Linked DNA regions of Ovis aries. The main gene of each other region encodes a partner of the protein of the gene in region 2 in a complex. Links are inferred from orthologs where the notes say so. Each region holds a gene or a part of one and is shown on either strand. Other genes may lie near its edges. The genes, in order: POLD4 and POLD1.

Region 1 (8,986 bases), on a different chromosome or scaffold from region 2:
AGGCAGACCTGGGTGGGAGTTGGGCCCTGGTGTCCACTGATGAAGCAGGGCACTTTTCCTCTCAGCCTCGGTGTCCTCATCTGTGACAGTGGCTGATACTCACCTGACGAGATTGTTCTGAGCAGCCAGCTAGGTGGCGTGAAGCGCAGCAGATGGCACGGGTCAGTGCTTGGTAAACATCTGCTCCCTCCCAGCGCACCAAGCTGTCAGCAAACGTCTGATTCTTGAATGTCCCCTCCCCTGCATCTGCCCCACTCCCTGTGGCTCCCTTCAGGCCACTGGATGCTCTGGTCTAAGGCCACACTCTTCCCTGTGCTCTAGTCCTGGCCCTCCTCACCTTCACAGAGACCCCACTCATCACCTGCCTCCACTGTCTCCCGGCCCTCAGTGCCCCACCCCCTGGTCTCTCCCTGCGCCGGGCCATTACGCTGTGTGTCACTCTAACACGAAAGATGGAACGGGGCAGCACAGAGTAAGCGCCATTCCTTGACCCCATATCCTCTCTAGTTGCCACTCACTTCTCTGCTTCTTTCACAATAAAAGGTCCCTGGAAGGCCTGGCCTGATCCTTGTCTCCACTTCCACCGCCGCTCCCTCTGCGCCCACTCTAGGCCCAGTCCTATACCACCAGTCCAGGGGAACTGCCTGTCGCCAGTGACCTCCACGTGGCCAAGTCCAGCGTGCACGTCTCAGGTTTATTTTACCAGCCTGTCAGAAGCATCTGAGACTTTGAAACACCCTCTGCCCAGGCCTCCCAGGCCCTCCTCTCTCCTGACTTCCTCCAGTCGTGCCCCTCCTCAGTCTCCTTGCTCAGGCCCTTGCCTCTGTCTATACTCACTCAGGTAATCTCATGCCCACACATGGCTTTCATTGCCACCTAAAGGATGCCCAAATTTCTATCTCAATTCGAGAGCTTTTCCTGGAATTCCAGACTTACGTATCCACCACTGCCGACTCCCCAGCTTGGCTGTGTCACAGACCTCAAACTGAACTCTTCATTCCCCGCCCCACCCTCCCCTTCCCGCAATCTTTCCCATCTTAGTAATGGGAACTCTGTTCTTCCAGTTGTGCAAGCCAAACCCTTTGGAGTTATCCTTGGCTCCTCTTTCTTAAACCCCACAGCCAACCCATCAGCAAGTCTTGTCAGTTAGTTCTTCCTTCAAAATACAGAAAGAGTCTGGCCACCTCCTACCTCTATCTCCTACCCCTCACCTCATGGTGAGGCATCACCATCACCTCCAGCAGCCTCCTGCCCCCAGCCCCCCATTGTGTTTTCTACCAACAGCCATCAGTTTGTCATTTGTTGGCTTAAAACCCATTGACAACTTCCTCTCTTACTCAGAATGAAATCCAGATTCCTCACCCTGGTCTGCAAGGAGCCCTGGGACCAACCTGGTTACCCCTCTGTCCCCATTTCCCCTCACCCTCCCCTGGCTCCCTCTGCCCCACCCTGGTCTCTGTGCTGCTTCTTGACCGAGCTGGGAGCACGCCTGCCTGGGGAGGGTGGATGCCAGAGAGTCTCCCCTCACAGCCTCTCTAGCACCCTTGGCACTCTGTCCTCTCACCCTCATTTTGCCCAGCACTGACCACTGCCTGACATAATACTTTTATGTGTTCGTTTTTGTCCATCTCCTCCCACTGATACCCCCAGAGGACCTCCGAGTCCGGCATGCAGCAGGTGCTCAGCAGCCAGGCGGGGCAGGGGGAGACGGAAGAGCCTAGTGCACCTGGCCCCTAGTCTCTGCGCCACCACGTGCCTGCTGGTGCTTCTGGACGACTCTGTACAGCAGTCTAGGCTTCAATGTCCTTCTACGTAAAACCTACTGTGAAGATGTTTTCAGAAACTTAGAGATAATACATTCAAAGTACTTGAGGCATGGTCAGCGCTCAATAAAAAGACTACTTTGCTGCCCTCTGGGCCTGCTTCCAGAGAATTAGTAGTTCTGTCTCTAGCTGTCGCAGGACAGAGAGCTGAGGCATCGTAAGTACTGATTCCATTCTCCGTGTCCCAGGGTCCCCTAAGCATTGTTTGTCGATTACAGCCAGTTCTTCTCCATCTCTAGGACCTGTCAGTTCCCTACCGAAGCTCCTCAGATGATGGCCATCTCTGAGCAGGTCCTGTGGGTTGAAACTCTCCCCCAACCGTGCTTTGGAGCCAGGTGGCCCCCAGTGGCAAATGGAGGTGCTTTCTGGGAATGTGATGTCTGTCTGGACCTTATAAGTGCGCCCATGGGTCCTTCTCTGACAAAGGACCCATTTTTGTGAGTTGGGCAGCACTGGGCAGGCTAGGTGATGGGTTCAGTGGTTTTTTCCTGGCTGGTCGGGGAAGGTGGCTAGAGTCGTTTTCCTGTGAACCACCAGGGGGCGCCAGAGGTTGCCCAGCGCTTGTGAGTACTGACCGTTGTTTTTTTTTGAAGGTGTCTCTCCTTCCTCCCCGGTCTAGGGTTAGGAGAGGAAGAGACACAAACACCTTGCAGGAAAGCATGGTGCTGGTTCTCAGCCACCTATCAACAGCCCAGGCAGGCCCACATAAAGAGACTGGTCAGGTTTCCAGGCTCAGAGTTCTTTATTGATAAGCACTAGTGAACCCCTTGCCCTGTGAGCTCAGCCGTTCTGCCCTCGGGTTCCCAGCCTGAGGAGCGGGTGCATCTTGGCCTCTGAGGTCATCTGCCTTCTGCCGGAGTCTGGTTCTGCCCAAAGCTGCTGCCAGGGACCACGGGGTCCAGGACAGGGGTGTGGCAGGCTTCAGAAGGGTCACGGCCAGGCCCTCCAGAGATCACTCTCCCTGTAGGGGTCACCTGGCTTCCTCTGTGTCGGTTCTCAGAGGAGGCGCTAGAACCCGGCTGGTTAGACCTCCAGATTCAGCCTCTTTCCTTCCCTGCCTGCCTCTTTCCTGCCAAATGTTCTCCACAGCAGGGCTGAGCCGCGGGGCAGCAACTGGCTCTCACTTGTGTCCGGTTCTCAAGTAGCAGGCAGGAGGTCTTCGGCGGAGCGTCAGAGGGGATAGAAATGCCAGAGGCTGTGCAGGGGGGTCGGGATGGAGGGAAACCTGAATCAGTGAAGTCTCTCCACTTGCTCTCACCAGCCCCAGCTCTCGGCCATGGCCTAAAGCCCTTGGCCAACCTTTGAGCATGAAATAGTCCCTTGGGCCCCAGGTGTACTCTTTCTCCACCGTTAGCTCAGAGATAAGAATTACGAAGGCAAGCTTCTGCCTCCTGAGCTCAGCACCTTGTAGAACCTTCTTGCCTGCCCAGTGACAATCCCCAAGGCTGCACCTACTTATCCCGAAGGTCAGGACAGCCCCCATCCTGGGCCAGCAGGCTGGTGGTACCTGAAGTCCCTGCCCCACCCCCCAGAGCTCTCCCTGGCTTGTCTCTGACCTGCACTGGAAGCGGGGATCCCCGGGGTGGCTCTGCAGCACCTGACGCACTTCTGGGGGAGGCTTCAAGCCCATCTGCTCTGCCCGATGCCAGCGCTGCAACCGTGTGATCCCTGCAGGAGTGGAAAGGAGACAGTGAGGGAGGCCTCAAGGGGGCAGGGGAAAGTCCAGGCTAGAGAGTATGTTTGGAGGGGTGTGTCAGGACCTGCATGAGTCCCCGTCTCAGGAGACGGTGTCCAGAGGGTCAGGCAGGGGCTGGGGTTGCTTGAGAGACGTGTGGGTGGCAAGACTGGCTCCTGGATGTGCTCTCGGGCCTGAGGGGCTCTCACCTGTGCAGGGCCCATACTGCCAGGCCAGGTCAAACTGCCTCAGCAGCTCCAGCTCCGCTTCATCCACGCTCAGGGTTAGGGGCTCTTCCCCTGCAATGATATGCTGTTCCTCAGGCCTGCCCAGGCCTGTGCCCTGCCCCTTGCCTCACAACTGACCCCACTGTTCCCCAGCTCTCACCACCCCTCTGCCTCTGTTATCCACTGCTATCGGAAGTAGAGGACATACTCCACTTCCCCTTCCACAGCCCATGTCCTTTCATGTCCCTCACGTCCACTCCTCCCGCCCTCCCACATCTCAGAGACCTAGCTCTGGTGCCAGCTCCCCCTTGCTGTGCCCAGCGGAGCCCTCCCTCCTCTTCACTACAGGGTAGGAGTCAGTGATGAGCCGTTTCCGGCCCATGGCGGCCACCCAGGCAGGCAGAGGAGGAGGCCACTGCCGGGAAGGAGAAGCAGGCCAGCGGGCACGAGAGAGACAGCTGCTGAGAGAGAGCGAGAGAGGGCTGGGGCCAGAGAGCGAGCCTGGGGCCAGCGATGGGCAGACGGACGACCCAGACAAACAGCAAGGAAGTCGGAGGGTTCCAGGGAATGACGCGTCTCCCCCACCCCCGCAAGCATGCAAACAGCAGACCTAAGCCAATGAGAGGCTGCCTGTGTGGGGCGGGGCCTGGTCCCAGCCAATGGCAGGTGGTGCAGGCAGGGGCGGGGCAGTTGATGCAGCTGTGCTCTGGGGGAGGGGGGTGAGGCTGAGTGGGGGACCTGTCAAGATGCCCCAGACGGCACCACCTCCTCCGGCCACCCCACACTGGTCTGCAGTGGGTCTCGGGGGACTTACAGAGCGTTATCCTTGGCCTCTCACTTCCCGTTTTCCCTTCCTAGGCAAATGTTCTTTTCAGCCTCACTAATCCCCGTAGCCGGTCTGTAACTCCCCAGAGCCCAGCCGGAGACTTCCACTCCCGCCCCTTGGCCCAAAGAGCGTTGTGGGGGCAGGTCTGGAGGTCCGGAGAGAGTTTGGGCTAATCCATACCCCTTCCCTGCTCCCACCCCGCCCCCACCGGCCCCAGGAGACCTGGCTGGCTGGAGAAGCCCAGGGGTTCTGAAAGCTCCTTTCTCACAGTCTGCGCCCAGAGATATTGCCCACTCTTAGTCCAGGCGAGCGCTTGCCTCTTCCACTGCCCCGGGGTCCCACAGCCTGGCACTGCCCTCTGTTCAGGAAGATTCCACACTTCCACACGGTGCAGGAGGCCAGAGTGTGTTGGACCCCTAGTCCTTCATCAGTAAAATCTGTCCCAATGTGAGAGTATGAGTAGAAAATACCGACAGTAAACCTGACACTTACACGGTGTGCCAAGTTCTGTCCTGAGCACTTTCCCACATACTCTCTCAACTAAAATAGACAGAAATGGTTCTTGAAAGTAGGAAGTACTGACTTCCTTGGGCAGTCCAGTGATTAGGACCCAGTGCTTACACTGTAGGGTGAACGGATTCGGTCCCTGTTCTGGGAATTAAGATCCCACAAGCATACCAGCGCAGCCAAAATAAAATAACAGGAAGTAGGAAGTCAGGCACGGTGGGGCCCTGGTGAAACCATCGTCCCTCTGTGTCCCCCAGGAGCTCACAGGCCAATAGGCAAGCAGACAGACACACAAATGGCAGTGCAAGGATAAAATTCCTAACAAACTAGAAGAGGACGACAGGGTCAGAAATGAGTTGTACTGTGAGGCTGGCTTAGCACTGGAAGTCCTCCTGGAGGAGGTGGGCTGCTGTAAACAGTGTCTCTCAATTCTCCACCCATGACCTTTGTCCCTTGGGCTCCTGTCATCGCTGACTCACCCCTGTACCCGCCTCCTCCTCACCAACTTCCTGGCAGCAGGCAAAAGTGCTGGCCAGTGGGAGTCTGGGAATCATTGCAGGGCCCAGCCCAGTGCTAATCGCCCTCTACAGATCCCATCCGGTTCTTCCTCCCAGGGCACAAGGGCCTGCTCAGGGGCTTCTGCTTCCCCCTCTCCCACTGCTCTGGGGTCTGGGCTCCCTGTTTCAGGAGGAGTGTGGGCAAAAGGGAGGAGAATGCTCTGGAGAAAGACCACCAAAGAGGAGGCGCAGGAGCAGGAACAGGCCGTGTCTGCAGGGGCCTCCTCCCACCTGGCTCTCCCCATCCCTTCCTGGAGGAGAGCAGAGTGGAGGAGTGAGAGCTCCTGGGTGCACTGCACAGAGCTGGAGGGCCCTTCCCTGCTTTATTGTTTGGGCTGGGCCAAGTCTAATCCCCCCATCTGCCTCCTGGACTAAGTGGGGCCCACAGGGAGGGAGACAGGGGCCCTGCTGTGACAGGGAGGGAGACAGGGAGGCCCTCTCCACCAGGCTGTGAAGGGCTTCGGTGCTGGGTCCAGTCAGGCAGGGAGTACTCCAGGGAGGGATGGTGCTCAGGCTCTGTGAGTCTGACCACCCCTCCCCAGAGGGTGTGTCTGGAGGTGTGTGGCACCCAGCTTCTGAGCCCACAAAGCCCTAAGGGAGTAGGGAGCCATGGGTGGGGCAGACCCCTCCTCATTCCTGGTCCCTCCCACCCCTGAAAGCTGATAGCCGTGGGGCCCTGCCACCGCCCAGGGAGCGTGAAATGGGGTATGCGGCTGGGCGGCCACCGTGGCTCCTACCCACCGCTGCCTGAGCTAGTCCCTCTCCCCTCTGGCACCCTGGCTGGCTCTATGGGCACTGTCTGGGCAATCCCTGCCAGCTGCCCCCAGCCCTGCCTGGTCCAGGCCCTGCTAGCCTGCCCTGCTCAGCCTGGAAGATGTCTCCCTCGGCCTTTGGCTTCTCCTAGTCCAGGTTCTCAGTTCAAGTGCCAGCACCCTAGCATGGGTTTTCTGGCCTGGAGTTGAGCAAAGTCTCCGCAGGCAGCATGGCCCCCTCTCCTAGTCACACAGAGGTCGGCTCAAGCCCCAGGGCCTGAAGGAGTTGGCACTCAGGGGTTTTGGGGCCATCCCTGTCCAGCTGGGGATCTTTGCCCAACTTGGCATCTGGATTCCTAAGCTGTGCTGGCAACTAGGCTAGACATCCGCCTGTCCATCCTCAGGTGTTTTCCTTCTTTGCTCTCCAACCCTGTCTGCCTCTTTTGCTCTTCCTTCCTGGAACCCCTATCCCTACTCAGGCAACCTCCTGGCCTAGCCCCAAAACCGCTGTCCTGGGGCCTGTCGTGGTTCAGGCTTCAGGCTGGAAGGCCAGGCCAGAGGTCTGGCTTGGGGGCTAAACTTTCTCTCTTTCAGGGATTTTCCTGAGACCCAGATGTAGGTTCCTTGTCAGCCCTGATCCCCAGAGGCTGGTGATGACACTAGCAGGAATGACCTTGGAACACTCAAGGCCCTTGCCTCACAGCCAAGTCCAAAATCTTGGGGGAACCCAAGAGAAAAGGAGAGAAAAGACTTGGAATAGGATCCCACCACCTTCCTGAGGGCTGAGGCCTGCCATTGACTGCTCCGAGGGGAAGGGGGATTAGGCCTGGCTTAGCTCAGACAATGCGGCAGGATGGGGGGGGGGCGGTGCTTCAGCACTGCACATGCACCCTAAGAGCCCCTTCCCTCCCCCCCAACAGTGGGGCCTGCGGGGAGGGCCTGTCAGAGCTCAGAGGAGGGGGCAGGTGGAGAGAGGGGAGCAGCTGCCTGGGGCCCAGCAGGCGGTGGGGCGCAGCCACTCTCCTTCCCTCCCCAACATCCCCCTTCCTCAGGCCCTCAGGCCCTGCCACCCACCCTGAGCTGGAGATTCTCGGCACCAGACTCACAACCCTGAGCCCCGTTTCCCACCCTGTGGGGCCAGAATTCTTTCAGGCAGCTCCTCCTGGTCCCTGCTGACCCCCTCAGACATCCTCCTTCCTCCTCCTCCAGCTTCCCGGGCCTCGTGGGCTTTCAGGAGCCTGGGAGTAGGCAGAAGTTCCCCTGGGTCTGGGTTTCTGCCACTGGATGTCTCTTCTGCCCTGTCTCCACTACCCCATTCAAACCTCCCTCCCATCACCTCCCATTTCACCTTGGCCTTGCCGGCTTTAAAGAAGTCCTAGGGAACTTTGAAAAGGGGCCCTTCTGGCCATTCCTCACCTTGGCCACCAGGTGTCAGACTTTGTCCAGCTGGGAGGAGGGTCCTCCTTCACGTCCACCCCATCGGCCTGGCCTTGTGGAGATGAGGGCCAGGTGGGGAGGGGCCTAGAGGTGGCCTCTGAACTAGGAAGGCTGAGACACACTGAAGGCTGGGGAGAGGGCTGCAGCTCTGGTTCTAAAGCTCACAGTGACTCCCTCACTGCCCCCACCCTCACCCCCACCCCACTGATGAGGGCTTTGTCCACTGCTGGGAAACTGGGGAAACAGGCTGAGTCAGGGAGCTCAAGACTTGAAGGGACAAAGGCAGGGACAGTTGTGGCTCCAGAGAATAAGGGGGAGCTGAGAGGGAGCCACCCGTCAGAGTGCTCAACCAGGCCTGGATCATCACCCTTGCCCTCTAGGTTAAGAGGAACAAGGGCCTCCCTTGGCCCTCTCCACTGTGGCAAGTGGGTGAAGAATATGTGTTTGTGTGAGAGCGAGTGCTTGAATGAATCTCCCCACACACCAAGGGGGGACCGAAGTCCTAGATATGGGTCAGTCTTTGCAAAAGCAGGAAGCTGGCAAAGCATGACTGCTGTCCTGCCGCCTCCCAGGAGAGTCTACTGTACCCGCCCCCCCACCCCGAACGTTGCCTCACCCAACTCACAGTTCTCCATCTGGTAGGCATCGCAACATGGGGGTGAGATTTCTTCTTCATGCGCTGTTGGCGGGGTGGGGGGTGGGGTGGGGAGCGACAGGGAGGAGGGCCTTCTCTCCTTCCCTCCCACCCTCCCTAGCCTTCCTGGGGACAGAAGGAGGTCCAGAGGTAATGCCCTTCCCCCCCAACCCCCCAGCTGTGGTGACTGCAGGGCTCTGTGTTTCAGGTTCTTAAATTGACCTCTGCCTCCCTGGGCCTCTGGCTATCAGTTCAGCTCAGTTGCTTAGTCATGTCCGACTTTTTGCGACCCCCTGGACTGCAGCACACCAGGCCTCCCTGTCCATCACCAACTCTTGGAGTTTACTCAAACTCACGTCCATCGAGTCGGTGATGCCATCCACCCATCTCATCCTCTGTCTTCCCCTTCTCCTCCTGCCTTCAATCTTTCCCAGCATCAGGGTCTTCTCCAGTGAGTTAGTTCTTTGCATCAGGTGGCCAAAGTGTTGGAGTTTCAGCTTCAGCATCAGTCCTTCCAATGAATATTCAGGACTGATTTCCTTTAGGAT
Region 2 (9,482 bases):
CTCTAATCAGTAGGAAATAATCAAACCAAAGTAAAGACTGGCCTGCGAGATGGAATCTTCAAAAAATGTCCAAGTCATGAAGGGGGAGGAAAAAAGATCAGGAAACTGTTTTAGATTAAAGGAGAGACTATGTCATCATGACAACTAGACGACTCACTAGTGGGATCACTAGTGTGATCCCAGGTCAGATCTTGGATTTAAAAAGTGGAAATAGCTCTGAAGGCTGTCGCTGGAACTGCACAAACTGAATAACTGTCTGAGATAACAGTATCGTTTCATAGAGAATGGCCTGATGCTCATTATCCTGTAGTATCATGATGGCTACAACCCGTACACAGTTCAGCGAAAAAAAAAAAGGGTATGTGCATCAAGATAAAGCAAAGTGAGGCAGCACTTTCACAACTGACAAATCCAGGAAAGGGTTTGTGGGTGTTCGTTGTACTTGTCTTGGGATGTCTCTGCAGGCTTGGAATTTTTTAATTAAAAGTTAAAGGAAGGGATTGCAGGGGGCATGGGTTCAATCTCTGGTCAGAAACTATGATCCATAGTTGGGGCCGTGAGTTGGGGCTGAAAAAAGAAAAAGCTGGAGAGAAACACATAAAAGAAAAATAACATTTATCCAAGCTGATGGGAAAATATATCTAAAGATGTTGCTTTTTCACGCATAATTGTGGCAGGATAGGTAATAAACTGGCAACATTGGCTTTCTGGGGGGCTGGGGTGGGGAGATAGTTTGACCAAGATCTCATTCACATACCATACGATTCATGTACATTTTAAGTGTACAGTTCAGTGGTTTTCAGTATATTCAGAACTTGGGCAACCTTGACCACAGTCCATCTTAGAACACTGTCATCACACAAAAAAGACCCTCTCCACTCAGTGCCTCTCCCGCCCTCCCCCAGAGCACCACTGATCTGCTTTGTCTAGATGGATCGGCCTATTCTGCGCATTTCCTAGAAATGGAATCCTGTGTATGGCTTCTTTCCCTGAGAATGTTTTCAAGGTCCACCCCCGTTCTAGCACGGATCTGGGCTTCATTCCTTTTTACGCCTGAGTACTTCCTGTGCCCTCCGCGTGTAACTGTGCAGATACGTGGTCTGATCTCAGAATAAGGAATGAGCCTAGAGGCCTTTGCTCCGGCCATGCGAGTAGCCAGAGGGATGCAGAGAGTTAGGACCTGGGGGAAATGCCCAGGTGAGGCAGAGGAAGCTCAGGGGTTGCCAGGAGCCCCACGGAGTGGCAGACCTGGCTTGTCAGGGGGAGGAAGGAGAGGGCCAACCGGCTGCCCTGGGTCACTGGGCTGTGGCCAGGGGGTACGATGGGTGGGCAGCTGTCACCGGAGCAAAACCTAGGGTCCTGGACTAGTCTCCTATCCCAGGTGCTGTCAGGCAAGCCAGCATGAGAAGGGAGGGTCCCTGGGTGTCCCCCTCGCAGGAGTGCAGGGCAGAGCTTGGCACCTTTCTGGGTGCTTCAGCAGCAAATACTGAACAGCAAGTGAATCCAGCATTAACCACAACGAGTGCCTGCTCTAGTCACACACCCGTTTCTCTCTGACACACTCCCTGGAGGTTGTCATCCCATCCCACCCAACCTCACCGCTTTTTTTTTTTGCTACACCACTAAGCATATGGATCTTAGTCCCCTGACCTGGGATCGAACCCACAACTAAGAGTGGAATCTTAACCACCAGGGGATGGCTTTAAATGCCATCTCTTAGCTTTTGTGTCTCCCACACAGACCTCAGCCGGGACTCCAGGCTGACAGATCTGAGTGCCCACTGTGGCGACGTCCCTTCAGGCACCCCAGACTCCAAAGCCAGGCTCCTGATCTCCCCCCAAACCTGCTCCTCGCACCCCACAGTCTCCCCTGATTCAGTACAACTCCCGGCAGGTCGACAACCTTGGAGTCACCCCAACTTCTCTCTTCCCTTCAGACCACACGCTCACTGCATCAGCAAATTTATTTATCAGCTCTCCCTTTCAATGGACAGGCCCCGCCCCAGCTCCCTAAGATCGTTGGCCTCTATTTTGTGCATTGCTGTTTGTCTGGCTCCCCCTGCTGGAAAATAAGCTCAGCTCGGCCTGGGATGCAGTCTCCTTCACTGAAGAATCACGGGTGTCAGTAACAGTGTCTGGCCCATAGAGGACACCCGAGGAGTATCTGCTGAATGAATAGCCTTGCCCGCCTGTCATCTCCCTCCTTCCACCTGGCCCCGCCCTCCTTCCACCTGGCCCCCCTCAGTGTTTTCTCCACTCAGCAACCAAAGAGACTTTATGTCAGATCGTCCCACCCCTGCTCTGCTCAGAGCCTGTCCCTGGCTCTTGCCTCATGCACAGTTAAAAGTCCTCATTGTGGCCCACAAGGCCCTGCACAACTGCCCCCACCTACTCTTTCAGGGATACCACCTCCGCCCTCTCTCCCTTGCTCACTCCAGCCACTTGCCTCCTCTCTGTTCCTCAAACACTCCAGGCTTGCTCCTACCCCAGACCTTTTCACAAGCTGTTCTTGCTGCCCAACCAAATGCTCTTTTCCAGACATCCCCATGGCTCTCTCCTCCCCGCCTTCAGGTTTTTGTTCCAATTTCACCTTCCCAGTGAGGCCGGCTTCAAAATACAGCCCCTGGGGCCTCCCCAGCAGTCCAGTGGTTAGACTCTGCACTTCTACGGCAGGGGGGATGGGTTCGATTCCTGGCCAGGGAACTCCCACAGGCCAAGGCGCGACCAGAAAACAGATACAGAAAAATTTGAAAAGACAGCCCCGCTGCCCCTCCTGACACTCTCCAACTCCTTCCCTAGCTTTATTTTTCTTGCTGGCCTCTCGCTGTCTGCTGTGCTGTATCAGATCGTTCAGAGTTCTCCAAGTGTGGCGCCCTGCACCTGCAGCTTCTGGTGGGAACTGGTGGGAATGGAAGCCTTCAGGCCCCACCCCAGACCTACTGAGTCAGGGCCTCTGGAGGTGGGCCCAGCCCCCCGCGTAGGATCGAGCCCTCCAGGGCCTCCGAAGCTGCTCAAGCCTGAGCACTACTGCCTATTCGTTTTGTTTACTGTCTGCAAGGAGAATGGAAATACTGCCAAAGCCGGGATTTCACCTTCTGTTTCCCGCTACATCTCATGTCCCCAGGAGAGAGGCTGAAGCCGAGTACACACCCAATAAATAAGTGCTGCTGCTGCTGCTAAGTCGCTTCAGTCGTGTCCGAATCTGTGCGACCCCATAGACGGCAGCCTATCAGGATCCTCCGTCCCTGGGATTCTCCAAGCAAGAACGCTGGAGTGGGTTGCCTTTGCCTTCTCCGAATACGTTCTGAATGCAGCACCAAGGAAGGAACTCAAAATTTTCACCAAAGCTTCTGAGGCAGGTGCTGCTATTAACTCTCCAACACAGTGACTGGCATGGAGGCCCAGAGACGTGAAGCCACCTTCAAGCCTGAGGTGACACAACGAGCTCAGAGGGGCAGAGCCCGGGTTCCAACCCAAGCAGACTGGCTCCAGGGCCCCACGGGTGATCAGTGCGCCAGACTGTCGGCCTCTGGGGGTGCCAGGAGCGATATGGGGGTGAACTGCCCTCTGCCCAGCAGGGGAGACAGGACAGACTCATCTGCTTGCTCACCCTGTATCCTGGCTCACACACATCTGTCAAAGGATCGATTAAATAACGACAAATGGATCTATTCACTCCCGCCCCCCCTGAAAACTCCACACCTTTCAGGCTTTGGCCAGGTCCCCCCTCTGGGCCTCGTGACTCCTGCTGCCCTCGTCCTGGGCTGTGGATCACCTGGGCTTGTGTCTGGCTCCCTCACCAGACAGGGAACTCTTGATGGCGGGGCAGGGCTGAGGCTGCTCTGGGTCCCCGGGATCATCCAGCATGGGGCCTGGTCTTGGGAGAAGTTTTCGGGATGAAATCTTCCTTTTTCTTGGCCACCTAACTCCTCTACACCCTCTGAAACTCAGTTCTGGTTCAGTTCCTCCTCACTGATCAGCGGCCCCCTAGGGGCTCCCACAGCATCTTGGGGGCATTTCCATTACTGCACAAGCTGTGACAACTTCCAACTGAGAGGTCCTCAAAACACAGGGGTCAGGGGCTGGCTCCAGTCTGGGTCCCCAGCATCACCTAGCAGAGAGCCTGCGATGCAGGCCACTTCAAGTTGTGTCGGTTTAGACCCTTCTCTGGTGTCACCAACGCCATGAGTCCACCTTGAACCCTCATTTTCTTCTGTTAGCTCCCAAAGACTAGTGCCGCCTCTTTTTAGTTCAGAGAGCTCTGGCTTGAGATTCCTGTCCTTCTTCCAACCAAACGGAATTATCACTAGCTCCCCAGTGCCCAGCAAAGGCCCTGAGTAGGGCAGGAACAGCCTGGGTGGGGAGGTGCAGGAAGGAGGGGGAGAAAAGGCAACAAGAGGTTCCTGGAGTGGGTGTGGCCGTGAACCTGACACACTGCCATCACCCTGCCCACTTGCACCACCTAAGCTCTGCCCTCAGGGTGGCACCCCCAAACCTGCCCCCCCTCAGCTCCCCGTCTCCAGCCTACTGCTCGAACCACAAGCCCTGTGATCCTGGGCTCCCCCCTTCCCTACACTCACCTTGTGCGCGTTCACACTCCAGAAACCACCTCCGCCTGATGGATTCTCCCCACTTGCACTGCAGGCTGAGCCGCCTAGCATTCCCCCTTGCCTCCAACTGGCCTCTCCTCCTTCCACTCTCACTCCTGCTACAACCCCATCTTCAATCTGCAGTCAGAGATTTTTTAAAGCTCAGGGGAGGATCAAGACGCTGTGATGCTCAAAACCTCCCCAGCTCCCTACTGAACTTACAGTAAACGTTAAAGGGAACACTGAGATGTACAAAGCCCTATAGGATCTGGTTCCCTACCATGTCTCCAGCCTCACTCTTCCCTACAAGTTACAAGGAAGCCAAGCCCCTTCCTACTTCAAGGTCTTTTTACTGGATGGCCAGCCCATCCACCCCACGTCCAGAACATTTTTTCCGGGGCTCACTTCTCTCTCAAATGTCACTTCCCCAGAGGGACTACTCCTGTTCACTCCAGAAATAAAAAAGCAGGCTACTCTTGTTTCACTTTCCTTGGGGTAACGAATCACAAGCTGACAACATTGGTTTGTCGTCATTACTTACTACTTGTCTACTCTCGGTCTGCCCCTGAGAAAGAGGCTTTCTCTGACTTATTTGGGTTGTAGCCTCGAACCCTAGGGCAGTGCTGGGCACAGTGTACTCAGTATCTAGAGAATAAAAGATGACACCATGCCCTCACGTGCACCATCGAGAACCCAATGCCTCCGGGACCCGTTGCTCCCAAGACTCCCCAGTGTGCGTCCCCCTCGTCCTCGGCGCCCAGCGCCAGCGCCCCCCGCAGGCCGAGGGGACGCCCCCACCCTGTCATCTGCCCCCGCGTACGCGCCCACGGCCACTGGCCTCTGCCCCTCCTGCGCGCGCCCCCTAACCAAGGGGATCCCTCCCGCCGCCATGCCCCACGCGAGCTCTCACAACCCTCTCTCAGGCCCACGGACTCGGCTCCCCAAGCCTCCTTCCCGGCCAGGCAAAGTCCCCTGCAAATCCCCTTCTCCCGTAACTCACCCGCTTCAAACAGTGTTTCCCGCCACAGCCCACGCCGCCGTGACCCCTGACTCCGGCGCGCGCAGGCCCAGAAGTGCGGCGCGCAGAGCCGGGCCACGCCCCTCCCACCCAAATATGGGAGGCCACGCCCTCTTCCCCCTCTCTGGGGCACAGGCCACGCCCCCTCCTTCCAACTTGGACGGTGGTCTAGTCCCCTTGCGGATGTATCCTCGCCAAGCCACGCCCCCTCTGACGTTTGTGGCTCGAAGCTACGCCCCCTTCCTCACCGGCGGGTTGAGACCCAGTGTTCTCTGCGCACGCGCAGCGGCTCTGGGCGCCGGCCCTCCGTTCGACCCTGCCGGCTCTAAGGTGCTGGGCGCGCACCCTCCACCCCAGCCGCTTCCTGGCCAAGGCCTTGTCGGGAGGACCGCCTGGGCAGTGTTCCTCCTCCAGTCCGCAGCCTGACCTTTTCCCTCCCGATAGAGGCTGGCCCATGCGCGCTCAGATCCTGGCCAGGTTGGTTCTCCTGTCTCGCGCGGCCTCAGCTTCCCCATCTGTAAACTGGACTCTTGCGCAGGGCAGGCACATCTCTAGAGCGAGAGGCACTCTGGGATACGACGATCGCATGTAACTACTCTCAGTTCCCCCGTTCCCTCTCCCCTCTCTACAAAAATATATTTTTCAGTACTCCACCCACCCCTCCAGACAACACCCTCTTCACCCTGGACTGGGACTGTCCATTCAGCTCACCTCGGTGTCCCCTCACGGCTTGGCGCAGCAGAAGAAGAAATTAGGAGAACTCCACTGCCTTTCCTTTGAACTCATCTAGGCCTCTTTCGGGAGAAGGCAATGGCACCCCACTCCAGTACCCTTGCCTGGAAAATCCCATGGACAGAGGAGCCTGGTAGGCTGCAGTCCATGCTAAGGGTTGGACACGACTGAGCGACTTCCCTTTCACTTTTCACTTTCATGCATTGGAGAAGGAAATGGCAACCCACTCCAGTGTTCTTGCCTGGAGAATCCCAGGGACGGGGGAGCCTGGTGGGCTGCCGTCTATGGGGTCGCACAGAGTCAGATAGACTCAAGTGATTAGCAGCAGCAGCAGGCCTCTTTTGAGGCCTTGCCTGACTTCCTACTCATCTCCCACATTGTCCCGCGCTGCCCCTCTTCCCTTACCTTCTGTCAGTTCCTGCTCAGCCTCCCATGACCAGCCCTGACTGGTGGTCAACTCCGAGGAGAGACTTCACCTTATTTATTTGATTTGATTTTTGGCTGTGTGGCCTAGCTTGCAAAATCTTACTTCCTGACCAGGTATTGAACTCAGTTCCTGGCAGTTAAAGCATAGAGGTCCGACTACTAGACCACCAGGGAACTCCCCAATACAATTTGTAAAGGTCCATTTACAATTATTACAAAATATTGGCTATTATTGTCCATGTTGTACAACACATCCTTGAGCCTACCTTACACCCATAGTTTTTACCTCCCAATCCTCCACCCCTGTTGTCCCTCCCGCCACTGGTAACCACTAGTTTGTTCAGTCTGTCAATCAGCTTCTTTTCTGTTATAGTCACTAGTTAGTTGTATTTAGATTCCGTTTGTAAATGATGCACAGTATATGTCTTTCTCTGTCTTATTTCACTTAGCATAATGCCCTCCATAGAGAAGGAAATGGCAACCCACTCTAGTATTCTTGCCTGGAGAATCCTGTGGACAGATGAGCCTGGTGGGCTGCTGTCCATGGGGTCATACAGTCGGACACGACTGAAGCGACTTAGCATGCCTGCATGCATTGGAGAAGGAGATGGCAACCCACTCGAGTATTCTTGCCTGGAGAATCCCAGGGACGGAGGAGCCTGGTGGGCTGCTGTCTATGGGGTCGCCCAGAGTCGTATACGACTGAAGTGACTTAGCAGCAGCAGCAGCAATGCCCTTCAAGTCCAACCATGTTGCTGCAGATAGCAAAAATTTCACTTTCATGACTGAATAGTATCCCATTCTGTATGTACGTATGACGCCTTCTTCATCTGTAGATGAACACTTAGGTCACTTCCATTATCTTGGCAATTGTAAATAATATTGCTACGAATATTGAGGTGTGTGTATCCTTTCAAATTTAGTGTTTGGGGTTTTTTCAGTATATATCCAGGAGTGGGATTGCTGAGTCCTGTGACAGAGTTCTAGTTTAGCTTTTTTTTTGACCCCAACGAATGGCATGTGTAATCTTAGTTCCGCAGCCAGGCACTGAACCTAGGCCCCCAGGGTCCTAACCACTGGACTGCCAAGGAATTCCTCTAGTTTTCGTGTTTTGAGAAACCGCCATACTGTTTTCCACGGTGGCTGCAGAGACTTTATCGTGTTCACAGATGTTTCCAGTGCCTAAGAATGTATTTGGCACATAGTAAATGCTCCATGGGGCTTCCCTGGTGGCTCAGATGGTAAAGAATCCGCCTGCAATGCGGGAGACCTGGGTTCGATCCCTGGGTTAGGAAGATCCCCTGGAGGAGGGCATGGCAACCCACTCCAGTATTGCTGCCTGGAGAATCCCCACGGACAGAGGAGCCTGGTGGGCTACAGTCCATGAGGTCAGAGTCGGACACGAGTTAGCGACTAACCACAGCACAGCACAAATGCTCCATACGCATCTGTCAAATGAAAAACACCTGTGTCCTGAGACTGGCCGACAAAGCAGCCTCAGCCAATACTTGCTGATTGAACGAAAGCTCCATGCCCTCCTCCACTTAAATCCTCCCTGACCTTCAGGAGCAGGCTCCAACCACCAGATGACCCTGAGGCCCCCAAAGCGCCTAGTCTTATCACCCTGAACCCACCCTAGTCCAACACCAGGTCTGGGGGTTTGGTGTCCATGAAGACCCTGGCAGCCCATTCCCACCTCAGACTCATCCTGAATCAGAGCAAGTTTCTAGTCATACTTTATTTTCCTGTTTTTTTTTTTTTTTTTTTAGTTTTTATTAAATAAAAGGAGCAGAGCAGGGAGCCTGTCTGTGGTCTCTCAGGCTGTGGGAGAGCCACAGGCCCTCCTGCCTCTGTTCAAGGTGCACTGCATGGTAGGCTTGAGGTGTAAGCTGGGCGGGGAGGGCAGCTGGGAGTGCTGGGAGAGGTCAGAGCTCAGGACCCGTGACCCCCTCCAGCCCTCCCAGGAAGACTCAGTGGGCAGGCAGGGAGGCTCCTGGACGCCGACTGGGGCTCATCCTGAGGGCTGGCGGGGGGCCAAGGCTTTAGCTCCGAGCCGCAGGGCGGGAGCCCAGACCCAGCCCGGTCCCTTCCCACCCCAGTGTGCAGTCATTGGGGATGTGCAGGGCAGTGGGGTGGGCCCTTCATTCGTGGACGTCCCAGATCTCAGACAGCAAAGGTGGCAGCTTCTTGTCCTGAAGCCGCAGGGCGAAGACCTGCTCCGAGTGCACGGAGCTGAGCGTGCGCAGGCTCACAAGCTTCATCAGCATGCGGGGGAAGCGCAGCTGGTCCTGCAAGGAGACAGGAGTGGGTGGGTGCCAGGCGGCCCACCCGGAGGACCCCCACCCTGGAGAGGCAGTGTGGGGGCCCCTGGGCAAGGACTTGCCTGACTCCTTAATGATGGGACAGGGGCCTTGAGGACAGGCTGCTGAGAGGACACTGATCAGAACTCAGCTGCTGGGGTGAGCCAGGGACGTAGGAAGCTGACCCTACACAGGTCTAGGTTTCCTTGGGAGGGTCCGGGCTCCGGTACCTGTGGCCTCTTGATGCGTGTGTAAGACAACAGCGCGTCCACGTAGGGCTGCTGCAGGGCCTCGACCCGGCTGGGCTCCTGCACGTTGGGCCGGTCGGCTGAGAAGATGTTGATGGCGATGAGCAGGGCGTACTCCGCGTCATCCAGGCCCAGACGCCTCATGGCCCGTGAGAACTCGAAGATGGGGT

What was found.
Region 1: POLD1 (region 2) and POLD4 share a complex: the UniProt entries of both Homo sapiens proteins name them as parts of the tetrameric DNA polymerase delta complex. The link is inferred for Ovis aries from reciprocal best matches to the Homo sapiens genes POLD1 and POLD4.

What each region holds. Positions count from the first base shown.
Region 1 is NC_056074.1:41,658,472-41,667,457, forward strand, and holds POLD4 (DNA polymerase delta subunit 4), read right to left. Parts: upstream 4,269-8,986; 5' UTR 4,108-4,268; coding exon 4,011-4,107; exon of another isoform or gene 3,798-4,010; coding exon 3,708-3,797; coding exon of another isoform or gene 3,584-3,707; intron 3,492-3,583; coding exon 3,380-3,491; intron 3,019-3,379; coding exon 2,994-3,018; 3' UTR 2,547-2,993; downstream 1-2,546. UniProt on the Homo sapiens protein: As a component of the tetrameric DNA polymerase delta complex (Pol-delta4), plays a role in high fidelity genome replication and repair.
Region 2 is NC_056067.1:56,283,560-56,293,041, reverse strand, and holds the start of POLD1 (DNA polymerase delta catalytic subunit), read right to left. Parts: upstream 5,643-9,482; 5' UTR 5,589-5,642; intron 4,727-5,588; 5' UTR 4,580-4,726; intron 3,877-4,579; 5' UTR 3,860-3,876; coding exon 3,702-3,859; intron 1-3,701. Other genes in the region: NR1H2 (oxysterols receptor LXR-beta), read right to left, coding at 8,906-9,052, 9,295-9,482. UniProt on the Homo sapiens protein: As the catalytic component of the trimeric (Pol-delta3 complex) and tetrameric DNA polymerase delta complexes (Pol-delta4 complex), plays a crucial role in high fidelity genome replication, including in lagging strand synthesis, and repair.